4 linked regions of the Caenorhabditis elegans genome follow. The protein of the gene in region 1 purifies or fractionates together with the protein of each later gene. This does not show direct contact. Each region holds a gene or a part of one and is shown in the gene's direction. Other genes may lie near its edges. The genes, in order: spp-5, asp-14, Y47G6A.22 and nep-24.

The links.
Region 2: the proteins of spp-5 (region 1) and asp-14 fractionate together in Caenorhabditis elegans (co-fractionation; one large-scale study listed by BioGRID). This does not show direct contact.
Region 3: the proteins of spp-5 (region 1) and Y47G6A.22 fractionate together in Caenorhabditis elegans (co-fractionation; one large-scale study listed by BioGRID). This does not show direct contact.
Region 4: the proteins of spp-5 (region 1) and nep-24 fractionate together in Caenorhabditis elegans (co-fractionation; one large-scale study listed by BioGRID). This does not show direct contact.

Annotation. Positions count from the first base shown.
Region 1 is NC_003284.9:7,317,592-7,323,512, reverse strand, and holds spp-5 (Saposin B-type domain-containing protein), read left to right. Parts: upstream 1-3,158; 5' UTR 3,159-3,159; coding exon 3,160-3,312; intron 3,313-3,360; coding exon 3,361-3,519; 3' UTR 3,520-3,576; downstream 3,577-5,921. Other genes in the region: T08A9.13 (uncharacterized protein), read left to right, coding at 1,105-1,212, 1,260-1,514; spp-4 (Saposin B-type domain-containing protein), read left to right, coding at 4,758-4,910, 5,011-5,169; spp-6 (Saposin B-type domain-containing protein), read right to left, coding at 5,851-5,910.
Region 2 is NC_003284.9:6,442,669-6,450,667, reverse strand, and holds asp-14 (Peptidase A1 domain-containing protein), read left to right. Parts: upstream 1-4,003; 5' UTR 4,004-4,061; coding exon 4,062-4,158; intron 4,159-4,973; coding exon 4,974-5,102; intron 5,103-5,367; coding exon 5,368-5,504; intron 5,505-5,550; coding exon 5,551-5,946; intron 5,947-5,991; coding exon 5,992-6,151; intron 6,152-6,206; coding exon 6,207-6,291; intron 6,292-6,339; coding exon 6,340-6,436; 3' UTR 6,437-6,483; downstream 6,484-7,999. Other genes in the region: grl-6 (Ground-like domain-containing protein), read left to right, coding at 11-239, 284-406, 450-632; fah-1 (Fumarylacetoacetase), read left to right, coding at 1,760-1,843, 1,896-2,122, 2,616-2,860, 2,907-3,062, 3,188-3,441, 3,546-3,836; K10C2.7 (uncharacterized protein), read left to right, coding at 7,235-7,399, 7,444-7,566.
Region 3 is NC_003279.8:3,557,777-3,566,206, reverse strand, and holds Y47G6A.22 (DeHydrogenases, Short chain), read left to right. Parts: upstream 1-3,355; 5' UTR 3,356-3,362; coding exon 3,363-3,384; intron 3,385-3,436; coding exon 3,437-3,669; intron 3,670-4,622; coding exon 4,623-4,802; intron 4,803-4,853; coding exon 4,854-4,960; intron 4,961-5,937; coding exon 5,938-6,001; intron 6,002-6,054; coding exon 6,055-6,213; 3' UTR 6,214-6,273; downstream 6,274-8,430. Other genes in the region: lpd-3 (Bridge-like lipid transfer protein family member 1 C-terminal domain-containing protein), read left to right, coding at 827-964; Y47G6A.33 (C6 domain-containing protein), read right to left, coding at 1,252-1,538, 2,068-2,119; Y47G6A.21 (DeHydrogenases, Short chain), read left to right, coding at 6,411-6,575, 7,179-7,271, 7,639-7,818, 7,876-7,982, 8,046-8,109.
Region 4 is NC_003282.8:16,921,398-16,929,491, forward strand, and holds nep-24 (NEPrilysin metallopeptidase family), read left to right. Parts: upstream 1-2,994; coding exon 2,995-3,144; intron 3,145-3,188; coding exon 3,189-3,318; intron 3,319-3,365; coding exon 3,366-3,451; intron 3,452-3,495; coding exon 3,496-3,741; intron 3,742-3,792; coding exon 3,793-4,077; intron 4,078-4,443; coding exon 4,444-4,563; intron 4,564-4,606; coding exon 4,607-4,861; intron 4,862-4,906; coding exon 4,907-5,069; intron 5,070-5,113; coding exon 5,114-5,382; 3' UTR 5,383-5,570; intron 5,571-5,619; 3' UTR 5,620-5,660; downstream 5,661-8,094. Other genes in the region: nep-23 (NEPrilysin metallopeptidase family), read left to right, coding at 1-161, 208-390, 479-607, 1,375-1,629, 1,673-1,835, 1,880-2,127, 2,179-2,337, 2,501-2,674.

The DNA of each region.
Region 1 (5,921 bases):
TATACGTTAGTCTGCAATCACGTTGGAAACGATTTTGAGCATTTCGTAATACTTCATTAGCTTTTGAACGATTCTTTTGAAATTTTTGAAAGCAGCATTACATTAATAAAAAATTCAATTTTAAATTCGAAATAAAATTTCACTTCTATCCTCAGGACCCACTTTATCTTCATGAATCATGTTTAGCATATCTTTCCGAATGATCAGTCAATCCACGAAGCGTGAACAAACATCAGATACAAAATGAGTGAAGTGGCAGAATTAATAATGACGCAGAGTTATTCAGGATGTTTTTTTCAGCGTTTTGCTCATTTTAATTTTGACTACTAAGGGTCGAAACATTAATATTTCAAAACAAGGTCATTAAAATTATATGTAAGTATCATGCTGTAATGTTTTATATTGTAATTTTTCCACCTGCTTGGTTTAAAAATTCTTTAGGGTTAGAACAACTTTACTTACTTTTTAGTTTTCACTATCCTAACTTAATTCTTCTAAATTTAAAAAAAACAAGCACTGTGAAGTTTCAGAACAAAAACCTTACTCGTCTTGTTGATATTCAATGCTTAAGAATTAATTAAAAACGTTCAAAAACCAATGCGATAACTCTCATTCACAAGTACTAATCCCTTTTCATGCAAAACTCATTCATCTTTGCTCATTCTTCACATCAGTCATTAACATGAACTTTAAAAAGTCTGAATTTTGTTCTATCTAGTATTTTTTTTTTAATGTCAATGTATTCACATCTAACATCAGCTCCAATTGCAGTTTCGTTCCAGCACGTGATTTTCAGAGATGCAGATCCGGATTAGAAACATAAAAAACGCTTCTTAAACTGCCCCAGCGATATTGCTCTCTTGAACTATTAGTTTATTAGTCGCTCAGTGTGTGTGAAAATCAAACCCCATTCATCAATTTTCGTTCCGACTTTATGATGCATAAAAGTCACTTTTATAAAACGCGACTTTGGCAAAGATCTCCATGGTTTCATTTATATGTAAACTTCTGCTCTGTGCCTTTTTTGTTGTTTTTTTTTTAATTTTTGATCTGTGCAATGCAAAAAAGTAAGTTCTCTTTTTACCATCTCAAATTTCAGTCAAAATGCCAATGCCACTTCGGTTTCTTGAATCCTCACGGCCAAGCGTCAGCACTGCACCAATTCCAGTAGACAATATTACCGACCCACATGCCAGACGAACAGCAGAACTCGTAATTTTCGAATCAGAATTATTTGAACTTTAAAAACAGTTTTTCAGAGAAACGCAGAACTGGAAAAGCTTCAAAAAGCGAAGGAGCTCGAGCAACGAACTAGGGTTGAATGTCAACAGGCTCTTGACCAATACGATGTACTGAAAAAAATCCCAACATTGACGGAACAAGAACGGAAAGAAAACGAGACGCTCACCAAAAAGAAAATAGCTAAAGCCATTATTGCTGCACAAAAAGCTTCTCAAGCTGTGATGGATGCACGTGTAATTATGGGAGCCAAAGGCGAGGAACTGACAAAGTGAAAATAATTGATTTGTCTGTTAAAATTTCTAAATTATTGAAATTTTATAATTAATAGGTCTCAATCTGATGCAGTCTTTCCATATGAACATTGTTGCATTGTCTTAATTCTGACATGGTCTTGGTACATTGTCTGTCCAACATTTCAAAGCAAAATATCATTATTTGGGAAAATCTTTAAAAGCATTTATATGTTGTTAAAATGACCCAATATCAAAACGCAAAACGTTAGAAAAAAATTATCTATGAGCAGTTAGTTCGATGATATTGGTTGAAAACTCAGTTAAATATGACTATACTTTTGTAAGTCGGCCAAAACATGTTTTTTTGAATTTTCGCCAATTTTTAACCATGTTTTAAATAGTTGTCATTGACCAATATAGAAATTTTAAACCTGCTGCATCGCTTCCATTTTTTTTTCAAAAAATTTACTTAAAAAAGGCCAGTTACCAAAACTTCGATTGAAAATTTTGAATTCCCTATTCACAATGGGAGATCAGAAGCAAAGACAAGGAAATGAAAAATTATATCAACACTTTTCCCATAGGGAGTGAATTAATTTTGACTCTTAAAGCTAGACAATGTGCGAATATTTTGAATGTTACCACATGATAAGTTTTTTGTTAGAGTTATGCGATATTGAGTCATAAATCGGTTATAATATCATACAAAGGATCTTAGGTTTCTAGGGAAGTTAATAGAAACAGTCTATGCGGGAAAATCTGAAACGGAATGAATAACCTCACGTTCAAAGATATAGTTGCAAAAAAATATTAAATGTTGTTTCAAACCGCTCCGAATACAAATGCCACAAGTCCTTTCATAATTTTCAGAAACAATAAAGTTTTATCTAAAACTAATCCATTGCCTCGAACCTCTCGGTAAATCTAGTGGACACTATTTTGTTAAACAACTTTTACTTACTATGAATCTAAACTTATTTGATGACTATTTTTGCAGTCTTACAAAATTGAATAAGTTGAACAACATTATTTTTCCAGATGAACATCAGAGCGGAATAAAACACTGAAACGTTGTGGAAACTAAATACTACCGCCGAAACAGTAATATATTTCTGGAAAAAAATAAACACCTACTTCTCTTACTTTGTGGTATTTTTACTCGAAAACAGTTATATATTCAAAATATAGTTTCATTAATTTTTTAAATTCATGTTTATGTCGTGGCGTGGCAATAATACTAAATGTTTATATTAACTTGAAAGTTCGCAAAAAATTGATCATAAACGAGTTTATATTTGTACATTACCTACTCGTTCTATCCAAAGAAAGTTTAAATATATTTACAAATAACAACGTAAGTTGACGTTATTCTAAATGTCATACATCTGGATCGTTAAAAAACAGTTATCATGCATTGCAACATAGTATAAATGTTTAGTACATTCCTGCAAGCCGGACAATTTTCCTATTTATCACGAGTTTAATGCATATGTTGTCGATCTGTAACCTTTTTTCTATTCCATACATTATGCTCTCCGCTTTCGACGCTGCTTCTTATCAAATGGTCAAGTAATCAAAATTGGGAAGTTTTTGCTATAAATGCGCCCCTATCACCGCGTGCTCTTTCAATTCTTCCTTGCGTTTTGATGCTTCAGTGTTTCATTTCAATTTATTTTATTACAGAATGAAGACTCTTCTTGTACTAGCCGTTTTGGTCGCCGTTGCCTCAGGACTTGCCATCCCAGAAAATAGAAGCGCATTGAGCTGTCAAATGTGTGAGTTGGTTGTCAAGAAATACGAAGGATCCGCCGATAAGGATGCCAATGTCATCAAGAAGGTAATAAATCCGTGCTAGAAAAAAACCAACAACTCTTGAATATTCTAGGATTTCGATGCTGAATGCAAGAAGCTTTTCCACACCATCCCATTCGGAACCAGAGAATGCGATCATTACGTCAACAGCAAGGTAGACCCAATCATTCACGAGCTGGAAGGAGGAACCGCTCCAAAGGATGTGTGCACCAAGCTTAACGAATGCCCATAAACGGATCATTGAAATTTTTACTTGTTTGAAACTTTTACCAATAAATTTTCGATTTTTAAAAGTTTCAACCAGAATTTTGATAAATATAGAATAATTGTGACCAGAAATGTATTGGACCTTATTTTTTAGAAAGGGCCTCAAGTCTAATAACGAATCATAATAGTACTGATAAGGACTGTAATCCAAAAAGCTTCAATCCAGGAGAGTGGGGAACAATTGAAAAAATGTGTATCATTATGATTTTAGAGTTTGGAACTTGCCCGGTCTGCACACCATGTACACGTGACTGTTATTGCTTGAAACGCTGAAAGCTCGTTGCAAGCTTTTCTTGAGTTTCTAGAATTATCTTGAAGCTTGAAAGCTTTTCGCGCACAATTATTGATTGAACAGCGAAAAATGAGTACACTTTTTTCAAAACCTTTGATACTTTTTTGACACATTAGGAGTTTGGTTTGATAAGTTTTCTTTGTGAAATTGTCCTGCCCTGGACACCTAATTTTTACAGATAACAACATACAATTTCAGGGAAGTGCCGCGTCTTGATGATTTGCAATATATAATACCTGTAACTTTTTCACAATTATCGAAACTGTGATCACGTGAAATCACATAATATTCCGTTTATCTACGGATACAACAGAAAATTAAGTTCAATAGATCAAAAAGTCATCGAATTCCTTCAAAAAGACAGAGGGAGTCTGAAAAAAATTTGTTTAATGTAGGAAGTCGTATGCATAATACATTTGTTCACGTAATTGAGCAGAAAATAATTTATGTTTTTTTCCGTAATTCAAAACTAGTCACAAATCACACGGGTTTACACTAACGTGAATTTTTAATTTTTGTTTTATAGCAAATTATGTGATTTGTTACAAAGTTGAAAACTCCGAAATTAAATTTAAAATATTTTTCTGAAAAGCGGGATGAAAGGAGAAATAGGAAAACGGTATACGTACTTGCAGTAAATGTAAATGGGAACTAAAAATGTACCCGCATTGCTTCTGACGTACTCCGTTCTATAAACTGTTTTCCTCCGGTTGTACCGGCAATTGTTCCGGCAATCAAACTAAAATCGACAACGATCAAAAACATAATTCCCATTTGAATACGCTGCTTATCAGAAAACGAGATAATCAGGCTTGAGTGCCGATATAAAATAACCTGCGTCACACGTGCCAGATAGATAATTTAGATTATTTTCAATTCCTAATTTCATTCAAGCAGTTTCATTTTGCAGTATGAAGACTCTTCTTGTGCTAGCCGTTTTGGTTTTCGTAGCCACCGCCGTCGTGCTTCCACACCAAAGAAATTCCCTGGGATGTCAAATGTGCGAGCTTGCCGTCAAGAAGTACGACGGCTCCGTTGACAAGGATGTAAATGGTATCAAGAAGGTCAGGATTTTATTATATACTTTTTGCTACTAGAATGACATCATCATGTAGTGTTTCTCAGATAAATTAGCAACTATATAGAATAGGAAGTTTTTTCCAGGACTTTGACACCGAGTGCAAGAAACTGTTCCACTCTATTCCATTTGCCCCACAAGAATGTGAACACTATGTAAACACCAAGCTTGACCCCATTATCAAGGAGCTCGAAAGCGGAACTGCTCCAAAGGATGTGTGCACAAAGCTCCACGAATGCCCATAAACATTGACGTGTTATAATTGAACCGGAGAACTTATTTTTAAACAATTTAATAAATCAGTTTTAGAGAGGTTTTTGGCTGATAGCGCCAGCCAACAGCCGACTGACAAATGTTCGTTGCTTTTCGGCTCGTGAACATTTTTAACAAACTAACAAATTTTGAAGAAATTTGCTAGATTTGCCTAACTTTATTGGCTGGCTGTACTAGTCGACACCCGAAAAATCAGTCAGCCGCACACGCCTGATTGACACTTATTCTAACATGAAATTTATTGGACAATGAAAATGAAAACGCGAGGAGCTTTACCTATGAACAAAAGTTAATAAATTTTTGATTTTTTTTTGGTACAAACCCGCCTAAATAATTTTAGGTTTTTAACATCATTTTTTGCTTTTTTTTGCAACAATTCGTGAAAAAAAAATTTATTTAGTATTGCACTCCCTATCAGTCTTGCACTCCCTATTATTATTGCAAACCGGGAAGATCATTCGAAAAATAGTATTGCAGCCATATTAATAGAAGAAATACGGTAATTAAATACTTGCGATTAAAAAAAAATTTTGATAAAAACCTTGTTATCTCTACATTGAGTGAAGCTTAAAATCAATAAATAACTTCAGATTGATTGAAATTTTGCATGCTTTATTCAGTACCAATTTTCAGTTTTGAAATGGCATAAAAGTTTATGAACACTCGCCAAGTTTTGTGCAAACATCTTTTGGAGATGTTCCACTTTCGAGCTCCTGAAATAATA
Region 2 (7,999 bases), 880 kb from region 1:
TTGTTCACAGATTCTGTCCACCACCACCAATTTGTCCTCCGCCTCCACCACCGCCAATGCCATGCCCTCCACCACCTCCACCAATGCCGAGACCATCTTGCCCGTGTATGATGCAACGACCATCGTTCTACCCATCATATGTTCCCCAGTACTATCAGCCAATGATGCCTCAGCCAATGCCAACAGCTGGAGGATGTGGAGGTGGTGCAGTTGTACCATCAGTCAGAATTCCAGCTCAGGTTGGTAGATTTTTGAAAGAACCTTTAAGAAAATATCATTTCAGAACGATTGTTGCTGTGGCTGCTCATCGCCATGCAAGTACAAAAGTGTGAGACGCGCCGCATTTGCAGCCAAAACAATCGACCCTTCGTGTAACAGTTCCGAACTGAAAAACATTATCCTTGATGTGAGTACACTCGTTTTGCACGTCAAGCCTACTCTCTTTTCAGAATATTAGCGAAGATGCAAGTGAATCAAAGAGGAACATTCAGAAAATTGCCGAAGAAACACTAGGCCATGAGGTGAACGTTATTTGTGGTACAGGAGAATTCAGTTACATAGCTCATACCGATACATTCTGCCAAGCATTTAAGGAAGATGTCACCTGTTATGCATTCAAACCATTGCAATAAACTTATTTGGTGTTTTTTTTTTGTCTGTATTTCCTGCTTTTTCTGTCCACTACTGGCTTCAATAAATTAATTTTTTGAAAGTTTTTAATTCAATTTGATTTCGTAAAAGCAAAATCCAACAAGATATAAAAAGTTTGAAACTAACACTTATACTCAACGACAGTAGAGAAAGTGTTAATTCAATAGTTCATCGCTGTTGGTGTTTGTATTTTCAAAATGTTTAACCTTAAAAAATGTTTCTTGTGTATTACAACCCTTTATTATAGAAATAAATTATTTTTATATTTTTTTGACCATTTCACTCGCCGTACCTGTTTATCAATTACCGATAATATTTAACAATACAACTCACCTTTAAGTTACAACTTTTGACCTGCTCAGCAGGCTGTGGTGATCTGAAATCTACAGGTTAAAAACCTACATCCGATTGTGAAACGTTTTCTCTACTCGAAATGGTGGTAAGAGTTTTCTAAGATACAAATTGCTAGAGACCGTTTTTCTTCTGATATAAAAAGCGTTTTAGTAGCAATTTATCTTCATGGAATTGAGATTTCTATATTATAAACATAAGCAACTCTAAAAAACACTAGTTCTCCACTCTTTAAAATCGTCATACTCCTACTTGCTTTTTATTCATGAAACAGTATCATTGCCAATGCAAACAAACAACTATAGAATAATGCCATCCAAACATTCAAGAAAAAATCATCACGTGACTGTTTCGCAATTCAATTTGCATCCAATGTAGTTTTCTCTCTCTTGTCAAAACTTATCTGATATACTCTATTGTTTTATCCAATTGACGTCACTATCATCATCTTATCTTTTCAATTAGATTTGTGAGACCTTATATAGCGGTTTCAGTGGTGCACATCTGTCATTGTCACTGTCTGTGTGCAGTCATTTTTTTTGGTTATCGTTTTGTTTTTATTGGTGGTCGTTTAGTCGTGTATCGACCTTGGCCTATGCGTGTACGACTCCTTTTTGTATTTGTCACTAGCACCCTCTCCAACCTGTATGCTATTTTCTGTTTCAACGCCGCATGCGTGTACAGTTTCGGAGACATAACAGACTGCTGTCTACTCAACTCCATTTTTCAAAACTTGTATTGCTTTGCAGGCTAAATCATGAAATCCTTCGTTTCTGTTCCTCAAAACTCGGATTTCCCAATTCAAAACTTACCGTATGGTGTTTTCTCAACAAAGGCTGACGTAAGTGTATAAATAATTATTTCTAAAGCAAAATTAAACTAAATATTTTCAGTCTTCCCGCCACATTGGAGTTGCAATTGGAGATCAAATCCTCAACTTGGCAGAAATTGCCAATCTTTTTGACGGACCTCAATTGAAGGCACATCAGGATGTTTTCAAGCAGAGCACATTGAACGCGTTCATGGCACTGCCACGTCCAGCCTGGTTGGAAGCTCGTGCAAGAATCCAACAACTGCTCTCAGAGGATTGTGCTGTTCTTAGGGATAACGCTCATTTGAGGTGAATAAGTTGGCAAAACAAATTTGAAAAAGTTAAAAAGTAGTACAAAGTGTGTCTGATAATCTACTAACCAAATCTAAACAACTATTTCACAAGTTTTAATTTTTATCGTTAGTTTATAATTGCAAAGTTGAATCAATACTGTGCAGCAAGTTGGCAAGTTGAAATGTATATAGAAGTATGTGAAAATGTTCGGTCAATCTGAAAAAAATTATTTTATTGAGAACGCCTGGAAACCCGTCAAAGTTTTTGAAATACTTCATTTGACTTTAAATATATCGTTAAACTTTGTTGGCGACTTGTAGGCATTATTTTTAAAAAAATCTATTTCAAAATCGAGAAAAACCTACATTTTTATATTAATTTTTGATTTATAAATTGAAATCTCATACTGTAATTAGAAGCTTTGTACGTTTTGCGCACAACTTACATATAACTCTGTTTAAAACAACCAAGAAACTTTGTAATAATATTCTTATGTTTTTATTTACAGAAGCCGGGCTCTTGTCGCTCAATCCGATGCTACAATGCACCTTCCAGCTCAAATCGGAGATTACACCGATTTCTACTCCTCCATCCATCACGCCACCAACGTCGGAATCATGTTCCGTGGAAAGGAAAATGCTCTGATGCCAAACTGGAAGTGGCTTCCGGTCGGATACCACGGAAGAGCTTCATCAATCGTTGTATCTGGAACAGACTTGAAAAGACCAGTTGGACAAACTAAGGCCCCAGATGGTAAGATTTAGATTTGCACCAATAATGCAAATGTGTCCGCTTTCAGCTGAGGTTCCATCGTTTGGTCCATCAAAGCTTATGGACTTTGAGCTCGAGATGGCGTTCTTTGTGGGAGGTCCAGAAAATGAATTGGGAACTCGTGTTCCAATCGAGAAGGCTGAGGATCGTATCTTTGGAGTTGTGCTCATGAACGACTGGAGTGGTGAGTAACGATGTTAATTAAATATCAAACAAAAACATTTAAACTCGACATTTTGGTGACAAGAAAATTCAACAGTAGTTATTTTCAAGTTTGCTCCATACTCATCCGAAAAAAAACTTTTCCAGCTCGCGATATCCAAGCTTGGGAATACGTTCCACTCGGCCCATTCCTTGCTAAATCCTTTGCCACAACTGTTTCTCCATGGGTCGTCTCAATTGAAGCTCTTCGTCCATACTTTGTTGAGAATCCAGTACAAGATCCAGTTCCACCAGCATATCTCCATCACGATGACCCATTTACCCTTGACATCAATTTGGCCGTCAGTATCCGTCCAGAAGGAGATGCTGTGGACCATATTGTCTGTAAAACTAACTTCAAGGTATGTTCAAGTTTAGTAGAAACGATATTATCTACACTGTTCACTGTAAATTGGATCATAAACGCTCGTTAAGGTTTTCTCAACTACAATACTGTAATTTCTAGCATTTGTATTGGACTCTAAAACAACAACTTGCTCACCACACCGTCAATGGATGCAACCTCCGCGCTGGAGATCTTTTGGGATCAGGAACTGTATCTGGACCAGAAGAAGGTGCATATGGATCCATGCTCGAGCTTTCGTGGCGCGGAGCCAAAGAAGTTCCAGTTGGCTCAGAAATCCGAAAGTTCTTAAAGGACGGAGATGAGGTCAACCTTTCTGGAGTTTGTGAAAAGAATGGAGTCAGAATTGGTTTCGGAGAGTGCCGCGGAAAAGTCCTGCCAGCCGATATCTAAAATCATCGTAATTAAATCGTTTTGCTTTTTGTTTCATTCTCTCGTTTGTTAGTAGTATCTCGTCGAATAAAGTTCTGAAGCCCACGAAAAGTGATGAAAGTGGAAGTGTGCAGTGTCGAAAATGATAGGGGTTTGTCACGATTTTTTGGTTTCTATGTTATCAGTTCAAAGCATGAGCGAATAAATAGGAGAGCTGGTTGCTTGGAAATCATTCTCAGTTCAATCATGATCAAGACAATCTTGCTTTTGGCCTTTGTGGCCTCGACCTCAGCTTTTGTGATTCCTTTCAAAGTTCATGCTGCAGTTACCAACATTACCAAAGGTGAGTATGAGAATTTACAGATTTGTTTCAGATAAAGTGAAATTTGGTGTTTGTAAATGGAAGCCTTTACAAAATTTAAAATGAACATTTAAGCATTATTTTTGATTTTTTTTTTGAATTATTTTCCGAAGCGTATAAAAATTTCGATCACGTTTGATTGAACATGAACATTTAATGGTACATTAACGTTATATTTTATTCAAAATAGGGATAGACACGTAACTGGGAGTAATAATAGTGGAGAGCGGTAAGTTGTTTTAAGAGCACGTATATATATATCCCGAAGCCACATAAAATGTACAGTGAATGAACAAACATTATTTCCTTTACGACATTGAGTAGAATGTATTTAACTTAGAATAAAGCTTATAACTTACAAACACAATGTTGCGGTTGATTTCCAATTATATATTGGTTGTTTTGAGAATTATGAACTGAAACTTGTGTGGTATGATTTTTCCATCATTTCCAACTATTTGAAAACATTTTATATCAACTTTTAGAAAAAAACTTTTTTTTTTTGATTTTTTTGGAATTTTTAAAAAGGGGTATTTTGGCACTTTCAAAATGTCGTAACTTGATCAAACCTGCTCTGAAGCAGCTAAATTTTTGGAGTGATCATCTGTAACTATTCTCTATCGAATGTATATAGTGGCGTAACGAAGTCCGATAACGAGTTCAGAGCCTTCCCTTGTTAGGAATAATGGTTTTCTAAATCTATTACATTCCACTAGTGAATTGTTTTGTACTGAAAATTACTTTTGGTATATAATACACAAGTTCCTTAGATTTTCAAAACTGAAGTTTAATTCCAGGAGGACAAACTCTGGAGCAAACCTCAACCTTCTTCGTTGCTAACTTGACCATGGGAACACCAGGACAACTTTTCACTGTTGTCATTGACACTTCGACCGCTGACATTGTTATTCCAGATATGAGTTGCAGTGAGTTTCAACCAATCGCTTTCTTGATTGCAATTTGATAGTTTTACGACTTTTAAATGTATAAAACATCTCGAACATAATCACGAAATGATGACAGTTTTTGTCAGCTTTTGCTGACAATTTGCCCTATTATATCGGCACTAAAATCGTTTTTTATGTTGATTATCGGTCAAAGACTATCACTTAGTGCACATAACATTCCTAATTTTGAAAACTCCACACTACTGATAAGAGTGAAAAAGATACAAACTGGAAAATGTTTCAGAGACCGCAAATAATTGCTACAACAAGAGAAGATTCAACCAAGCAAAGTCGTCGTCTTACTATGCATATGGAAATAAGTACACGTACAAGAATAATCTTGGAACTTTCCAAGGATTTGATGCAAAAGACACTGTTGTGGTAATACTTTCAATTTGTTTTTTAAGTCCTAACAATTTTTTTCCAGATCGGAGACCGCAAAACTGATTTGATCACCATTCCAGGCGTGAAGTTTATGCAAGCTACCGACCTCGGACTTTTGATGGATGGATTGGGTGCTGATGGAATTTTGGGATTGGGATTCACAGCCTCATCGCAAATCGGTGGAAACTCACCATTCGTTCAAGGTGTTAACGCTGGAGACATTTCGGGCACATTCTACTCCATCTGGCTCGAGCACTTCAACCAAACTGATGATCTCGGAACCCACGGAGTTATTTACTACGGAGGATTTGATCCAGTGCACTGTGCTCCAAACCCAACATACGTCCCATTGGCTTCTGCATATGCATACCAACTCACGATGTCTTCCTTCAAAGTTGTAGGATCATCCGCCACCAACTCCAACAACAAGTACATTCAAGTGAGTTTATTGCATCTCTTATGTATCAACAAATATAAATTTCAGACTTACCTTGACACCACCACCGCCCAAATTGGACTTCCAAAAACTTACATTAGCCAGGTGTTTGACTCCCTTGGCATCAGCACAAACGTTATGAATGCTATCTACCCAACAATTGTTCCATGTAACACTAAGATCACCCTCACTTTTGGATTTGTTTCTGGTATGTCGATTTCAGTGTACCTTCCACTTGTTTTACATAATTGCTCTATTTTCAGGTACAACAGTCTCAATTACGGAAAGAGATCTTGTTATTAGCTTCTTCGGAACATGTAGACTCCAAATTATTCCAACCACTGATAGGTAAGGAATGATTGAGAAGATGGATTGAATCATGCAAAAATTTTTCAGAATCATTCTCGGTCTTCCATTGTATCGTGGACGTTGCACATATTTCGATCCAATCATGCAAAGAGTCGGGTTCACTCCAGCGCTTCTCCAAGATTAGTGTTAATATTTGAAAGTGGAATAAAAATAAATCATTAAATTTAAAAAGTGCCGTTATGCGGTTCATATTCAGATTCATTTGAGAAATTTCTGAAAACATTGTAAGACTATTGGGATAGTTGGGAATGGGTTTAAGAACATATTTGATAGTATTTCTGATCTACACATAGTAATGTTCTACAAAGTTCTAGAGTGTTTCAAAAACTTTCCCAAACTTTCAGAACGTTTTATATTCTCAAATATACAAAGATTTCGAAGAAAGTATCTTAAACTTTCCAAAACTGATCATTTTCTGAATGTTGAAACGAACTAACTTGCCTACTATGTAGTTAGAAGCAGATTCTACATAGGGCGGTTGGAAGAAGTTAAACATAGTAGGCTAGTTAAAGCATTCGCTGTTGCATGTGCAACCGGTCGGTCCAAATAACGTCAAACAAACAAAAGGGACTAAAAAATTTTTCTATTTAAAAATTATCAGTAGAAATGTTAGTAAAAACATATCATTATTCTGTTCTAAAGCTTATTGGATAATGACTGACGAAGTTTGACTCATTGTATCGAATGATCATTTTTTAATGTAAACATTCACATCTAACAATTACTGTATGGTTGTCATAAAATACAAAATGACATTTTCCATTTAATAAAAAAGATCATCAAACATCACCCGACATATTCAAAACGATTTATTTGTTACATTGTCTGTTTTGTATTGTGACTCAAACTGTCTCATAAATACTGCTTGAAACACATAACTATATAAGAACCTGTCTTGCAACAATTCATTAAAATCTTCACCATGCTAATTATACTTGTTGCGGTTTTTTTAGCTCAAGCTAATGCCAGAGTGGTTGACATAGCAACCGACATTGTGAACATGGCTGCTATAAAAGACCAACTAAATTACGAATGTAAAGACGTAAAGGAGCAAACTCAATTCCAAAATTGCGGCAGCTCATTTTCAGTAAGTTTCCCAGAAAATAAGTTGGTGACAGTAAAATATTTCAGAAAAGTTTGGCGATTATCCAAAACTATCAAAACAACTCAACAAGACAACCAACTCTTCATGAAGAGCTGCTTTCACTTAATAATGTAGTGAGATGGATGTCATTATGTACAAAAAAACAATGAAAATGTGTGTAGTGCACAAATAAAAATTCATGAAATTACCTCTAAAATCACTGAAATCGTTCATAGCTTTTCCACAGAAATGAGTCCGAGTGACTGTTGGAAAGAGGTACTTTTAAAATGGTTTTTTTGGTGTATGTAAAATGATTGTTCAGGACGAGCTATATCACCAATACGTTTCTTGCTCAAACAATTATGGATTAACAAATAGAAATACTCTAAAAGAGTTGGACGTTCTCCGTCAAAATCAAGACGCAATTGTCACCTGCTTAGATCAACACATGGAATCTTCTCAAGGATGCAACAAAAAAAATCGGCACGAAGTCGCAACAATCGTGAACAAAATTGTAAATTTGTATAATATGCTCAATCCTGATCACAATTGCAACTAATTCTCTTCGTTGTTGACACTATATGAGATGTTAAATAATGAATA
Region 3 (8,430 bases), on another chromosome or scaffold:
GTAAAAAAATGTTCAACTGACAAATCGTAGATCATACCATATTCAACAACTTTGTAGTTGAAAACTATGACAAATAAATTGACGACCGAGATAGGATACCTACATTTTCATTTTCAGAAAATCTTCTGAGTTTTAAAACATTTATAGAGGACTTTTTAAATGTTTCTGGAATTTTTACAAAAGTTTTACAAGAGAGCAAGAGATCATATCGTGTTTTTTTTTAATTTCTAGATCCAAATGGCCATAATAAGTTCTGCTCATTTCATAGTGAATAAATTTCTAGAAATTAAAAAAAAACACTATATAATCTGAAAACTGTTATTTCCACAATACCACTACAGTAACCCAACAGTCTAACCCCATTAACTCCATCTACAATTATGACCTATGTATTAAAAAAAAACTATTCATACATTTGTTTATATCTAGAATATAAAATACTATAGACATTAATTTTTAATTCGTAGTAAAAAATTAGTAGTAAAAGATACGAAACATAGTGAAAAGTACAATCCCTGCCATTGTAGTAAAAATGTCTACCGTAGCAAAAGATACAAACTGTAGCAAAACATCGAAATATGAAACCGTAGTGAAAGATCCACGTAGTAAAAGATGAGGTAGTAAAAAAGTATTTTCCGTAGTAAAAGATCTATGTGGTCAAATGGTAGTAAAAGAGATCACGTAGTAAAAGAGCCAATTGTAGTAAAAGATCTAAATGCGGAATTCGTAGTAAAAGAGATCTTGTAGTAAAAGAGATACGTAGTAAAAGATCAAGTAGTAAAACAGTATCTGCCTCCAAATTTCAACAAAAAACCAAAATTTTCAGAGTCGAACGGACTCGATGGCACCGACACCAAAACGACGAGACAGCCGTCGTTCGAGCGAAGAAGTTTCCGTTTCAATCGATATTCCCGATATTATTACAGATATTTCCGACGCCTCGTTTAGACCGAAACACAATTAATTGATTTTTTTTTTCTCATGTATTTTCTAATTTTCTAGTCAACAATTATTGGCCAGCAGCTTCTTAATATTTTCTATTGCCTGATTTACGGTTTTTTTTAATTATTTATTTTTTTCCTCCAATTTCTGCTTCCACAAATATTTAAATGTACCAAATAATTTCCAATGAGCTTCTGTGATTTGTCTATTTTTATTTATTTTTTTCTGTGAATAATAATTCATTTGTACTAGTATTTATTAGTTTCATTTGATAAGTTTCCTAACAATTTTTGGATTATTTATATCTTATTACGAGGATCCACACGCAAACGCAGAAAGTGTCTGACTTTGTCCGGGCACACTGATCTTCCATTTCGATCCATCACACTTGATGCTTCCTTTTGATCCAACTTTACTCATTGGGGTCACGAATTCACGTCCCTGTTCATTGTAGTACCAAACATCAGAGCCAGCGGGGCATTTTATCGAATATTGATTGCCGGAGCCGGTTACAGCTTGAGAAAATGGAGCGAAATCGCAGAGGGGACAATTGACTCGGCGGGGGAGGTAGATGCTGGAAATGCCGGGGCAGCCACCTGGAAATTATTCAAATTATTCATTTAGGGCCGCATTTGCGCGTAAAATTTGATGCATTGGGTCAGTGAACTACGACAGTGCACCATGTTTGACGCGCAAATTCGAAAAAAAATTTAATTTTTGGGGAAATAAACAAATTCCCTGTACAAAATTGATATTTTTGAAAACACGTGGTGTCAGGCTGTCTCATTGCGGTTTGATAAACAAAAAATGCGGGAATATTTTTCCGGAAAAATTGTGACGTCAGTAGGCTCTTAACCAGGCGAAATAAGATGAGAAGTCTGCGTCTCTTCTCCCGCATTTTTTGAAGATCAAAACCCAAATAGGACATTCTGACTCCCCTTACGAAAATTCACTTTTCAAATAATCTGGCGAAAAGCAGAAAAATTCGTCAAATTTTAAAAACTATTTATAAAAAATCCTATTTTTTCATTAATCCCATTACACTTCTTTTTTTTAATGAATTGGGTGATTAAACATTATTCGAATTTTTTTTTGTTGAAAAATCAATAATCTCAAAAAACCCACCATAGACAGTGACGATCAGAATCGTAGCCAGTAGAACAATGATCTTGAACATTTCGCCGCTGACCTATCTATCAGTACTCAAACCCTAATTCTCAGCCTTAAATATCGTTACTGCTGTTTTTTTTTCGGCGACGAACGCTCACCCCGCCCCACACACAAAACTTCCTTCATCATGATTGATTAGTTTTTGAATTGAAACGGGAAAAAAAGACTGAACAAAGGGAAATATTATTGAGACGTAGAAAAATGCGCTTTTCACGGTGGTTCAGTTGCTAGATGGGTGCAAACGCACTCCACCGAACAAACGTGCATAACTTGGGCAGGAAGCACAAAATCGAAAATTCATCACAAATAAAGATAGGTATATTCATTGCGGTCATTTCTTATATGCATCGCAAAATCGATTTTGTGATGGTTTTCGAGATAGTAGCCAATATAGGTTTCCAGACTGACACGGACAACTGAAAAGGATCCGCCCCCAAACGTTGGGTCTCGTCAGGTATTGGCGAGACAACCGGGAATTTTTATGGTTTTTTGCCGATTTTACTAGTTTTATGTGTCGAAATTAAGGAAAATCAAATTAAATAACGGTTTTCCCTTTTAAATGCAATTTTAAAAACATAATTTCGATATAAAAATCTTGAAAAAACACGAAAAAATGCTTGAGAACAGGTGAAATCGGCAAAAAAGCGGTAATACCTAACGAGACCCAACGTTTGGGGGCGGAGCTTTTCCATTTGACCGTGGAGCGCGCTTGCACCTCGATTTCAAAAATCGCATTTTTCTGCATCAAAATTTTACGATTTTTTTCTCCATATCTCGACACGACAAATATTTGTTAAATACGAAAAGGTGTGCTCCTTTAAAGAGCACTGTAATTTCTCGTTTTGGAATTTTCATTGACACAGTACTCTTTGAAGGCGCACATCTTTTTACATTTAACATACATTTATCGCGACGAGACCAGGCACCGTAGCTTTGGCACAAAAATAGCAATTTTTTCAAATATCAACTACAGTAACCCACAGTTTGACATGGATTTTGAAATAAAAAAGTTTGCGCGTCAAATGTGATGCATTGAGTCATGTACCTAATGCACCACAGTTTACGCGCAAAAAAATTTGGAAAAGTTGAACTCCTGATGTGTGATGTGTTATCAGGAGCGGAGAAAACAAAATTTGTATTTTTCTCTGGGTCTCGTTTTTTTAGGATGCCGTTTATTATTTGTTTCAAAGATTTTTTTTTCAATTTTCAATTTTCAATTTTAATTTTAATTTTGATTTTGCAGGTCAACCATGCCCGTCGCAATTGTCACAGGTAATAATGACTCTAAATACTTGAAATTCCATTCCTCTCCCCTCTTTTCCAGGTGCAAGTTCTGGTATTGGACGTGCGGCGGCTCTTCTTCTCGCCCGGAACAACTACAAGCTCTCACTTACCGGACGGAATGTGGCGGCTCTCAATGAGCTCGCCGGGCAAATTGTCAGTGCTGGAAGTGATAAGAATGATGTACTGGTGACCGCTGTTGAGTTGGCTTCAGAAGAAGCTCCGAAGACTATTGTGGATGCGACTGTGCAAAAGTTTGGACGAATTGACACATTGGTGGGGGGTTATTTTTGGAAAGTTATAATAAAATTTAGAACTATTACGGGAACATAAAAATAAATAAAATTCTGAGAATTCGTACTGCACAACATATTTGACGCGCAAAATATCTCGCAGCGAAAACTACAGTAATTCTTTTAATGACTACTGTAGCTCTTGTGTCGATTTACGGGCTTGATTCTCATAATCAAGATAATAAAGCCCGTAAATCGACACAATCGCTACAGTAGTCATTTAAAGAATTACGGTAGTCTTCGCTACGAGATATTATGCGCGTCAAATGTGTTGCATTACGCATTTTCAGGATTTTGTGTTCCCGTTATAAAAAATTTTAGTTCAAAATTCTTTTTGAAAACGTAATAATTGCGAATTTTGTAAAAAAATGCACAGAAAATTATCCAAATGTGAAGTTTTGCGACTACTATTGCGTTACAAATACGGTATCTGGTCTCACCACGACTAATTTTTGCAACTTGTAAAAAGGTGCGCGCCTTTAAAGAGTACTGTATTTTCTTTTGTTTCTGCGGAATTTTCATCGAATTTTATACTTTTCGATAAAAAACTGTTTGAAAAATTAAAATTTATATATAAAAATCGAAGGAAAATTTGAAAAAATTCTGTAGTATATGCGAGTACTGTAGCTCAGTTTTGCACCCAAATTTAATTATTTTTTTTAAAATTAAAATTATTTTTGTCGCATTTCACATTAAGATTCAGAGATCTTAGAATTTTTATTTTTTAAAATTTTTTGAGAAAAAAGTTTGCGCGCTTTTTTAGATACTTTTTTTTTCGAATTTTCCAAATTTCTGCCTAAAGAGTTTTCTCATTTTTATTTTCGAGAAAAATTGCACCAACCTGTAAAAAGAAAATATGGGGATAACGAAAACATTTAAAAAAACTCTCCAACCGATTCTTGAATTATTAAACCCTTAAAATATTCTAAATTTCAGATCAATTCGGCCGGGATTCTGCGTGCCGGACCAGTTCTCGATTCTGGAATTGAAGTCTACGATGAGCTAATGAATGTGAATGTTCGTAGTTTGATCCGCCTGACACGTGCAGCTCTTCCACATATTATTACAACAAAAGGAACTGTTGTCAATGTCAGCAGTATTAATGGACCGTGCCCTGTATGATGTTATTTTTTTGTTGAAAATAATTTTCAAATTCGCAATTTTCAGTTCCCAAATGTAACCTATTACTGTATGTCCAAGTCGGCCGTAGATCAATTCACAAAATGTTTGGCTCTCGAAATGGCTCCGAATGGAGTTCGTGTTAATGCTGTTTGGTGAGTTTTCTCGCGATTTTTGCCAAAAAACTACGGTGCCAGGTCTCGAAGCGATCGATTCTCTTTAAGGAGTACTGTAATTACGATTTTTTCGGTTTTTAGGTTTTTTAAAGAAATATTCGAAAAATAAGAAAACATATACATTTCTTCCAAAAAGAAGAAAAATTGTCAAAATTTCAAGATATTTTGCGAAAAATCGGAAAAATATTTATTTTTGAAATCGAAAATATTTTTGGCTTTTTTTTTTTCGAAAAATCGAAAAATTATCGGAAAATATGAGTAAGAACGAAATCACAAAAAAAAACTAGGAAAATTTCCTGAAAATTCTAACTTTTTGCCGAATTTTCATAGGTTTTCTTGTTTTTGTTCAAATTTTGATGCATTTTTATATTTTTTGAATAAAAACGAATTTTTTAAAAGACAGGAGCTAAACTATGGAAAATTGCTTTAAAAATCTCGCAAAAACTAGGAGTAAGTAACTACAGTACACTACAGTACTCCTTTAAAGGCGCACGCACTTTTGAATTGAAAAAAAAAAGATCGCTTCGAGACCGGTTACCGTATTTTGGTGCAAAAATCGCTAACTTTCTCATTTTTTGTCGAATGAAACGCTAACAACACACGTATTACGGGAACACAAAATTTTGGGAATTCGTCTTACGCAACATATTTGACGCGCAAAATATCAAAACTACAGTAATCCTTTAACTGACTACTGTACTGCTTGTGTCGATTTACGGGCTCGATTTTGGAAATTAATTTATTTTCTTCGTTTCTTCGTATTATTTTCTCATTTTCAATAATCTTTTGATAAATAAAAAAACCCGTAAATCGGCACAAGTGCAACAGTAGTCATTTAAAGAATTACTGTAGTTTTGATATTTTGCGCGTCACATATGATGCGCAATACGCATTCTCAAAATATTGTGTTCCCTTAATAAACCCATATAAATTTGTCATTTCTCCAAAAATTTCAGCCCAGGGGTCACCGTGACCAACCTGCATCGTACATCTGGTCAAGACGAGACAACATATTCTGCGGTATAAAACCTGCTGCACTGACCTTGACAAATAAATATCATCATTTCTTTCAGTTCTTGGAACGTAGTAAAACGACACACGCACTCGGCCGTCCCGGTGATGCCAATGAAGTTGCTGAGGCAATCTATTTCCTCGCCTCTGAGAAAAGTTCATTCACTACTGGAGAACTTCTTCGTGTTGACGGAGGCCGCGGAATCATGCATCCGAGATAAATATTAGCTTTTTTGTCTCATATTGAGATTGTTTTGAACTTTTATCATGTAATAAATAGAGAGATACATGTATTTTTTTTAATTGTGTTTTTATTGAATCCTTTATAGTGGTTTTTTCCTTGCTTAATTTTTTTTTTTTTTGAAAAAAAATCGATTTTTTTTTGATTCAGTTTTGAATTTATTCAGAGTATCCGAAAATGCCAGTCGCCATCATCACCGGAGCAAGTTCGGGAATCGGAAAAGGCACGGCTCTTCTGTTCGCGAAAAAAAAGTACCAACTCTCGCTGACCGGAAGAAATACGGATTCTTTGAAGGAAGTCGCAGCACTATGTATTTCAGAGGGTGCAATTTCGGCTGATGATGTGAGTTTTATATTTTAGGAACTGTGACGGAAAGTACAGTATTACGGGAACACAGAATTCTGAGATTGCGTATTGCGCAACATATTTGACGCGCAAAATATCTCGTAGCGAAAACTACAGTAATCCTTCAAATTACTACTGTAACTCTGGTGTCGTAAATCAACACAAGCGCTACAGTAGTCATTTAAAGAATTACTGTAGTTTTGATATTTTGCGCGTCAATTATGTTGTGCATTACGCATTCTCAGAATTTTGTGTTCTCATGATAGCAGTTATCACAAAAAAATTTCGATTTTTTTTCCTCGTTTGTAATTTTTGGAAACACCGTTTTTTTGTCGAAAAAACAAAAAAAATTATTTTTTTAATTAAAAAAAACCGCCGCCATGGTCTTGACACATACAAAAAAAAATATTAAAACTCATCGAATATCAAGAAGTATACTAAAAATCATTAAAAATTACAAACACTTGCAGGTACTGTAGCTATGAATTTTATTATGTCGTTTCGAGACCAAAAATCGCAAAATTTTGCAAAAAAAGGGGATTGAACGTTTTTAGGTGGAAAAAATAGCGACATCAATTAAAAAATCGATTTTCATTCCAGATTCTGATAACTGCAGTGGAGCTGAGCTCTGATGAGGCGCCCAAAGCAATTGTGGATGCAACTGTACAAAAATTCGGAAGAATTGACTCATTGGTGAGGATATTCAGTTCGAAACAATTTGAAACTATCGAGAGAAAAGTTTTTCGGAAATTTAGAGTTTATCCATTTATTATTTACAAAATTTTCAGAAACGCGTACATAGAGGATCACGGATTTATTCGGTTGGGTCTTGCCACGAAAAATGTTTTTGCGCGGTGAGACCCAACTAGATAATTGCGTGCGCCTTTAAGTTCGTATCCCAGGAACAATTGCGGAACTACAATAGGTTTTTTTTCAATTTTATGAAGTCAATACTATTCAAAATTTAAACTTGAAAAATAAAAAACTTCACTTTTCCAGGATCCATAGTTTTTTTTTCGAGAAATTTCCCATTCTACCCTTAAAATATTCTAAATTTCAGATCAATTCGGCCGGGATTCTGCGTGCCGGACCAGTTCTCGATTCTGGAATTGAAGTCTACGATGAGCTAATGAATGTGAATGTTCGTAGTTTGATCCGCCTGACACGTGCAGCTCTTCCACATATTATTACAACAAAAGGAACTGTTGTCAATGTCAGCAGTATTAATGGACCGTGCCCTGTATGATTTTTCTTTTGGAAATTAAAAAAAAATATATTTCGAATTCGCAATTTTCAGTTCGCTGGGGTCACATATTACTGTATGTCCAAATCGGCCGTAGATCAATTCACAAAATGTTTGGCTCTGGAAATGGCTCCGAATGGAGTTCGTGTTAATGCTGTTTGGTGAGATTTAAATATTTTCATATTAAGAGCCCAAAAATTGAGAATAATTAAAATAAATTTCAGCCCAGGAGTCATTGTAACCAACATTCATCGAGCATCTGGGCAGGATGAAGCTACATATGCGGCAGTAAGTCTATTCTAACGACACGCAAGAAGTAATGGGCGGAGTCGGAAGCGCAACTCCGCCGCACGATTCTATTTTAATTAAAATTTTAACTGTTTTTTTAAAATATTCACAGCAAGATCAAATAATTAAAGTAATTCTAAAGCAAGATTTCGATTATTCAACCTGACAAATTAAGATAAATTGATTGTTTGATTTTTAAAAATGCGGAAAAATAGACGAAAAACAGTGCGGCGGAGTTGCATTTTCAACTCCGCCCATTATTCCTTGCGCGCCCTTTTCTGTGGGTCAAATTCTACACAGCGACATTACGGGAACACGAAA
Region 4 (8,094 bases), on another chromosome or scaffold:
GTGACCAATTGTTAATCAGCGCCGAGGAACACCGCAGGAACTACTCAAAGCTTGAGCCGACAATTTTAAATATTTTCGAGACAAATGGACTTGTGCCAGATCGGATACAACTTTTGAAAGATTTGGAGGGTTTTGCATCTCTTGAAGCTTTATTGAAAAATGTGACATTTTAATTTGAATACTTTACAATCGAAACTAAATTTTCAGCATTACTACTTGGACAATATGGATAAAATGAAGCCCGCCGTGCTTGATGATCTGGTGCCAAGTGTGGACTTTATGGGGCTTGTCAAAGCAATGATCAGCCCGGGAAAGGAGCACTTGATGCCGAAGATTGAGCTCAAGACTAGTGTACTGAATCAGACATTGTTCAACGATGAGAATATGAATGTGAGTTGGGTGGAATGGGCTTGTGCTCAAAGCTCACAGCGTTACAAGAAAATTCTTTATCTAGATTTGTAGAAATAATAATTTTCAGCTGGAAGCAATCATCCTTGACACACCCAAGCGAACACTGGCAAATTATTTGATCTTCAACTTTATTGACAGTTCATTGGACCATCTGGTTTTCGAAACAACTTCTCAAAAAGGAAACACTTGTGAAGATGTAAGTTGGGCCCAATTTATGTCGGCTGCTTCACAATATTCCTTTTTTGAAATGCAGGAGTTGTCACATGTTTCATGAATTTTGAAGCGCCCGACGTCTACCGGGATCCGCTAAAACACAGCTAGTATTGCAGCCGGGGTGGGCGTCGGCTGCTGCACAATCTCAAAAGGACTGCACAGCCGCCGACACCTCACGGGTTCCGCGCCTACGAGGTAGACACAGAGGGGTGCGGTACCCGTGAGATGTCGGCGGATGATACTGGTTGGGGTTGCGATTTTAGCATTTTCTCCGTGAATTTCCGGGAAAAAAAGGGCTCAGTCTTATGGATTTGTACGTACGTAAATGCCACGATGTACGAAACTCCTTTTTTTTCGAAGTCATCGCATACCTTCCCCCTAATGTCGCCAGGAGTTGTCTCATGTTTCATGAATTTAGAAGCGCCCGACGTCTGCCGGGATCCGCTACAGCACAGCTAGTATTGCAGCCCGGTAGGCGTCGGCTGCTGCACAACCTCAAACGACTCGAACGAAAGACAACACGTACATTTGAAATTAGAAAAACTGCAAAACAAATCCCAAAAATTAGGTCACACCGTTTTTGGGTCGTTTTCTGGGTTGGCAACTAAATCGGGACCCCAAGCAAATAACAGCCACCGACACCTCACGGGTTCAGCGCCTACCTACATCGTGATAATCTTAGTGGGATGCGGTACCCGTGAGATGTCGGCGGATAATATTGGCTGTACAAAAAATCCTATATTTTTTTAGAAAGTCATCACATACCTTCCTCGTGCATCTCTCCGAGTCTTCATTCGCAATTACGTCGACAAAGAGAACCGAGACCTGATCACCCAGCTGGCCGAAAAAACTCGAATCGCTCTTCACACTTTGGTTCAGAACTCCACGTGGCTAAAGGCAGAATCCAAACAACTTGCTCTAGACAAAATTAATGCGATGGGAAAGATGATTGGGTATCCGGACTTTTTCGAGCCACCGGGCACTTTGGATGGCATGTTTAAAAATGTAAGTAGTGAAAACTTATGCCTAATTTACTTAATTTTTTTAGCTAAATCTCGACTCATCTGACACGTACTACACAGCTCTCAACAAGCTCGAAAGGTATTTTGTTGAACAAAAAATGGATTATTTCGCAGAAGAGACACCTCTGGATCCAGATTTACGCGTTTTTGAAATGAATGCCTACTACTATATTCCCGGAAATCAGCTGAGTAAGTACTATTGGCTTTTAACCTAATTTTCAAAGAATTTCCAGACTTCCTTGCTCCATTCTTTGATGATCCAATGTTTGACTCGACCTACCCCGATTATGTGAACATTGCCATGTCTGGGAACATAATTGGTCATGAAATGGGTCACGCATTTGGTCCACACGCAATTTTGAGAACTGTCAGAGGACGGGAAGTGTGGATGAAACCGGAAGAACTTGCAGAATACGAGAGCAGGGCGCAGTGCCTGGCAAATCAGTACAGTGAATATGATGATCCAGATTTTGGACGAGTTGTAAGTGAAACTAGGTGATCTTGAAAAATGATTTTTCAACGAGAAATTCAGTTTGACGGCGGCAAAGTGATCGATGAGCTTGTGGCGGATAATATCGGACGGGAGGTTTCTTGGAAAATGTTTAAAAGTCTTGACTTGACAAATGCGACAAGGATTATTGGATTTGAAGACTATGACATTGACCAACTGTATTTCCGTGTTGGAGCCCTGGTGAGTCCATGTCGACCAATCAGCACGCGCCCTCATCGCTGATTGGTCGACACTTTGGTACAGTGTTGTCTAGCCATTCAACAGCCGACATAAAGCGGGACCATTAGATGTCGGGTGCTTTGAAACTAATATTAGCAGTTTTTTCTGAAAGTATCTATTTCAGACACACTGCACCCCTCATGCGATGCGTGATTTGAAAGGGTCTATCGAAAGTTCTCATCCTCGGAAAGCATTCCGTGTGAATGGAGTCTATGCGAATCTTCCAGAGTTTGCCAGAGCATTCAACTGCCCGACGGGATCTCCAATGAATCCGAGAAAGAAGTGTGATATGTTCTGAACTTGTGTTTTAGGTTTTTACTAGAAATGAACTTGATTCCTCCCTGATTTCTTGTTTTAATTTATAGTAACATTCTCATCATTTTGTTCAGAAAAGAGATACCATTTAATGAATCAGCTCAGATTTCTGATCAAATACGAATGTTGATCGGTGACAACAGGTGGTTTGTCTTTTGTTTGACATGTTTGAATTGAATCATTGATACGTTACTGTTCACCAAAACATTTATTTTTTGACAAACTTTTTTTCTGTTTCATGTATTCTATTTCAGTTTGTGTCGTTTTTATATTCTTACTGCTTGTAACATATAATTTCAGATAATGAGTCTACAAAAAGCCAAGGAAAAGCTGCCAGGATTTATGCTTCTTCTTCTTCTCACCTGTACTGCTCCACTCGCCATCGGAGCAACAACTCCTGCTACCCGAAATGTCTGTAATACTCCAGCATGCATCACTCTTGCTCACATGTTGGTAAGTTCCTAGCACTCTGGTTTCCAACTATATCAAACTTCCAGCACAACTACCACGACCCATCAGTTGATCCGTGTGACAACTTCCACCAATTCGCTTGCGGGAGAGAGCATGAGCACGAAACGGAAGATATTTACACGAAAAAAACAAAAACCATCAATAATATAATGAAAAGTGAGCTTTAGCTTTTATTCTTTTCTGTAATTTAGTTCCTGTTTCAGGATTTCTAAAAAAGAACGAGACGTCAAGATCGAAGTCGGAGAATGCTATGAGAACCTTGTATAAAGCGTGTAAAACCTTGGAGAAAGTAAGTTTTTTTTCAAAATTTTAAAAGCAAAATTTAATTTTCAGAATTCCACAGCCAGTCGTAACAAAGCTCTTCAGGACATTTTCCAAGATATTCAGAGCATTGGGGCTTGGCCAGTGGTGGATGATAAGTGGGATGAGTCGAAATTCGATCTGAATGATTTCCTTGTTAATCTAGTGAGGTTGGGAAGAAAAAATTTTGGACTATTTCAAATGGCACGGTATGTAAACGTTCGAAATTTTGCTATAGGCCCAGAAGCAGCTTGGCGTCACAACGTAGATCTCGGAAAGGTTTCGGATACAATTTTATACATTTTGCACCTTAAAAATTTGAATTTTCAGACAATTTCCGAGATTCTGAAAGCTAATTCTGTTCAGACGAACAATAAGAAGCTTCTAGACGATTTGGCAGAGTATGTTAATTTGGAGAAGGCGTTAAGCCAGCACAAGTTCAACACAGTTCAACCAGGATATATTTTTTCTGAGCGATCAGATTTTGTGTCAAGTGTGAATTTTTCAAGGCTCGTCTTGGAAATGATGAGCCCCGACAAAAGAACTTTATTCCCGGAAGTGTATCAGATTATGTACCTAACCAACACCTCGCTGTTTTTTGGAAAAAATAATAATGTAAGCATTATATTTTGATAGGGCTTCCATGTAGGCGCCAAAGCGCCTGCCTCTGCCTGCCGCGCCTCTTGTATTGTGCGGCGCGAAACCCAAAAAGTGTCGGCCGCTGCAAAAGAGCCACATTTAGCACTATGTGGTGTCTTTCATTTCTTGTCATTATGAGGCGAGAGGTCGGCGGGAGGCGGGCCGGCGTCAGGCCCCCGTCCTCCGCCTGCCTCGCGCGCAGAACCCGAGAGCCACTTTTCACACTTTATTGTGTCTTTCCTATCTCGCTAAAATAAGGTGAGAGGCAGGCGTCAGACCCTGAAACCGCGCCTGCCTCCAAAGCACTATATTTCGACTCTCCGGAAGATATTCTCCTTATAGCTTGAAACAATCATTCGGAACACTTCTAAAAGAGCATTGGCCAACTACTTGATCTTCAAATTCATCGATACGTCTATCGCAGACCTGACATATGGTTCCCCATCGGCATTTTGCGAACAGGTAGAGTACTATGATTTTTTTTTCTTTCGAAAAATTTATTTAGAAAGTCATCAACTTTCTCCCTCGTGCTGCTCTTCGTGCATTCTATCGCAACTTTATAAGTAAGGAGAATCGGAAGAAAATCACCAAATTGACTGAAGCCACCCAAGTTCAACTGTTGAAGATCATCGGCGCAACTGATTGGATGAGCATTAAATCGAAGAAAATCGCGATGGATAGAGTCAGCAGTATGAATATGGTAATTGGATATCCAGACTATTTTGATCCACCGGGAAAACTGGATGGACTATTCGAACATGTGAGTAGACCTCCTAGAAATCAGGGCTTGATAATTCAATTTTAGCTCAATCTGTCTTCATCTGACACTTATTACACGGTTGTCAGAAAAATCAATCGATTCATGCGTGAACAAGAGATGGACTATTATACCGGAGAAGTGCCGTACTATCCATTGTTCCCGGGACTTATGACTAATGCCATGTATAACGCGAATGATAATAATCTAAGTAAACTTGCAAGATAATTAATTATCATAATTATATATTTGCAGTGATCTTTGCCCCATTCTTCGATGATCCATTTTTCGACTCTAGTTTCCCGGACTATGCAAACATCGCATTCACTTCGAACACACTTGCTCATGAAATGGGACACACTTTCAGCCCGCATTTGATGGATATAATGACTGGTACAACAGAAGTTTGGCTAACACCGAAGGAGACAGAGGAGTACGAAAAGAGGGTGAAATGCCTGGAAGATCAATATACTGAGTATGACGATCCGGAGTACGGGAGAATTGCAAAAAGCTGTATAGTTTGAAAAAATACTCAATTTTATTAAACATTCAGTATAATGGATCGATGGTGATCGATGAGATAGTAGCAGATCGGATTGCAATTGATGTTAATTGGAGGGATTTCAAGAGTTCGGATCGATCGAAGGATCAGAAGATCATTGGATTCGAGGACTACAATCTGGACCAACTGTTCTTCCGTATTTCAGCTATGGTTAGTGAAGTGCTAGTGAGAAAATAAATAAAAATATGTCATATTTCAGAGCTTCTGTACGCCGGCTCCACTTTCGCTAGAAGTGTCTAAGGCTTCCAACCATCCGGCGTTTGCCTTCCGTGTCAATGGAGTTTTTCAGAACGTGCCAGAATTTGCGAAGACATTCAACTGCCCGCTTGGATTGCCAATGAATCCGGTGAAGAAGTGTAAAATGCTCTGATATTTTGTTTTTTTTTTTTTTGGAATAAAATATGCATTGTTAACATGAATTTTAGTTTTGAGAAGAGTAGTATAAGAATATTCAAACCAGGGTTGTGCGGCAAATTTGGCGAATTTGGCGAATTTGCCGTTTGCCAAGCTCGGCAAATTTCAAAAAAGTAGATTTGCCGAATTTGCCGCTCAAATCAAAAAATTTGACAATACTATCTATTTTGACCAAAACTATTGAATTTTTCCCCAAAAATTTTGTAAAATGACACAAAATTGAGTTATTTTGACGTTGAAGCAGCCAGACTACACGGAACTTATTTTGAAACCAGATGTGTGTTAAGAATTCAGTAGTTTTGGTGCTCCAAAAACATCAAATTTTTCGGAGTTTGTTAAGCACGGCAAATTTGCCGAATTTGCCGAATTCGCCGAGCTCGGCATGTTTTGAGATTTTCCGCGCACCCCTGGTACAAGGTGTCATCCTAGTCCCAATCAGGGCTGTTGCAAAAAAAATTTTCGACCAAAACAAACAACTAATTTTTTGTTTGAAATTTGGACCAAAAAACAAAAAAATAGAATTTTTCAAAAAACCAAAAAAAAAAAACAAAAAAAAACACAAAAAAAATTGAATTTTGATTTCAAACGGGACAAAACGGAAATTTTTCTTGAAATATTTGTTCCCAAAAACCAAAAAAAAAAAACAAAAAAAAAACAAAAACCAAAAAAAAAATCAACAGCCCCGGTCCCGATGTCTCAGTGCAAAGCAAAAAAAACTGTAGGTCGTGACAGATATATTAGGGTTGTATAATTGTGTGCTCCTCCCTCGTTTTGTGTGTCAATGCCTTGCCGCTGGGCGGCAGAGCTATGTGCCAAGTTACAGACATAGATCGCACTATAGATAAACATATGTATAGTGCAATCTATATATGTAACTTGGCACATAGAAATCTACAGTCCCTCCCCCTTTCTCTATGTTATTGTACCAATGCCTTGTTGCTGAGCGGCAATGCGAAACAAAAAGACTGTACGTTGCCATCTACCAAGTTACAGATATATTAGGGTGCTCCTCCCTCGTTTTGCGTGCCAATGCCTAGCCGATAAGCGGCAGAATAAATAGTCAGTCTAATCAAGACGAATCAAATCGACTGCCCTACCAGCGATGATTGCCTCCTCCAAGATGCTCCCATGCGTCGCCATGCTCGTCCTCATCTGCGGTTTGTTCAATGGATCCAGTACAGTCAAAGGAACATGTTCCTCTTTTCAGCTCACAGTGCGTTCTCCTCCGTAATTGTTGTGAAGCGTGGAGAAGCTTAACCGGAAGACAAGAAACTGGAACTTCTGGATTCTGTCAACAATGTTCGTAGTCAAATCTCGAAGGAGCTTTCAATTTCCAATATGAATAAGCTGGTGAGTGATTTACGAAACTATGCCAGCAAATGTATAATCTTTAGGAGTACAGTATGGAACTTGAGAACAAATTGAAGAAAGAGATGACTTGTGAGAAATTTACCGCTTTTGTGGAACTACTTCGCAAACATCTGGAAAACGAGCCAAAGGAGGTGCAAGATCTCGCAGTACGTTTATTCAGTAAATTCAAATTATTAGTTGGGCTTTTTAGGCCATTAGTCTTTTCGGAGCAATTGTGGAATACTACCTTAACCCTCTGGACACTCACATCGCTTTCGTTTCTCTAACTTGCGAAGGAGTTGAAGTCAACATGCCAACCCCTGAAACTTCATTGGAGTAAGTTTTTGTGACGATGGTTGAGAAAAATGTGAAATCTTGTTCAGCAAAGCCGCCGATCAATCTGACTTCAAGCACGGCCAACCAGGATCTGCTTGTCCATCTGGAAGAACTGCAACATCTGCCGGTTTGTGTGCTCGTTCGGACTAGATCGAATCCGCTTGACTTCCTTGCTTTTGCCTTGAACTTCAATTTGTGTTTATAGATTTTTGAATGAAGTGTGAAAATTAGATTTGTTCTTGCTTTTTTATAAAACTTTTACAATCAATTTGAATCCCTGGATGCCAGTTATAAAAGTTTATACTGTTTCATCTGGCAGACGTTTTTTTGAAAATCATGTGCATAGGTTCCTAAAACGCAGAAGCGGAAGAGCACATTGAATTAGAAAAAGAGTTGATCTGGAACTTTAGATGCTCGTAGAATTGCTCTAGTAGGGGGTTTCTGAAGAGTTGAAAGACTAACAATAAGAAATAGAAAAAATTACTAGAAAATAGGAAAATTAGAGGAATTGAAAATTTGGAAACCTCAAAAGTACTGTCCCTAATTCAAAGTGCTCCTCAGATTTAACAGTATG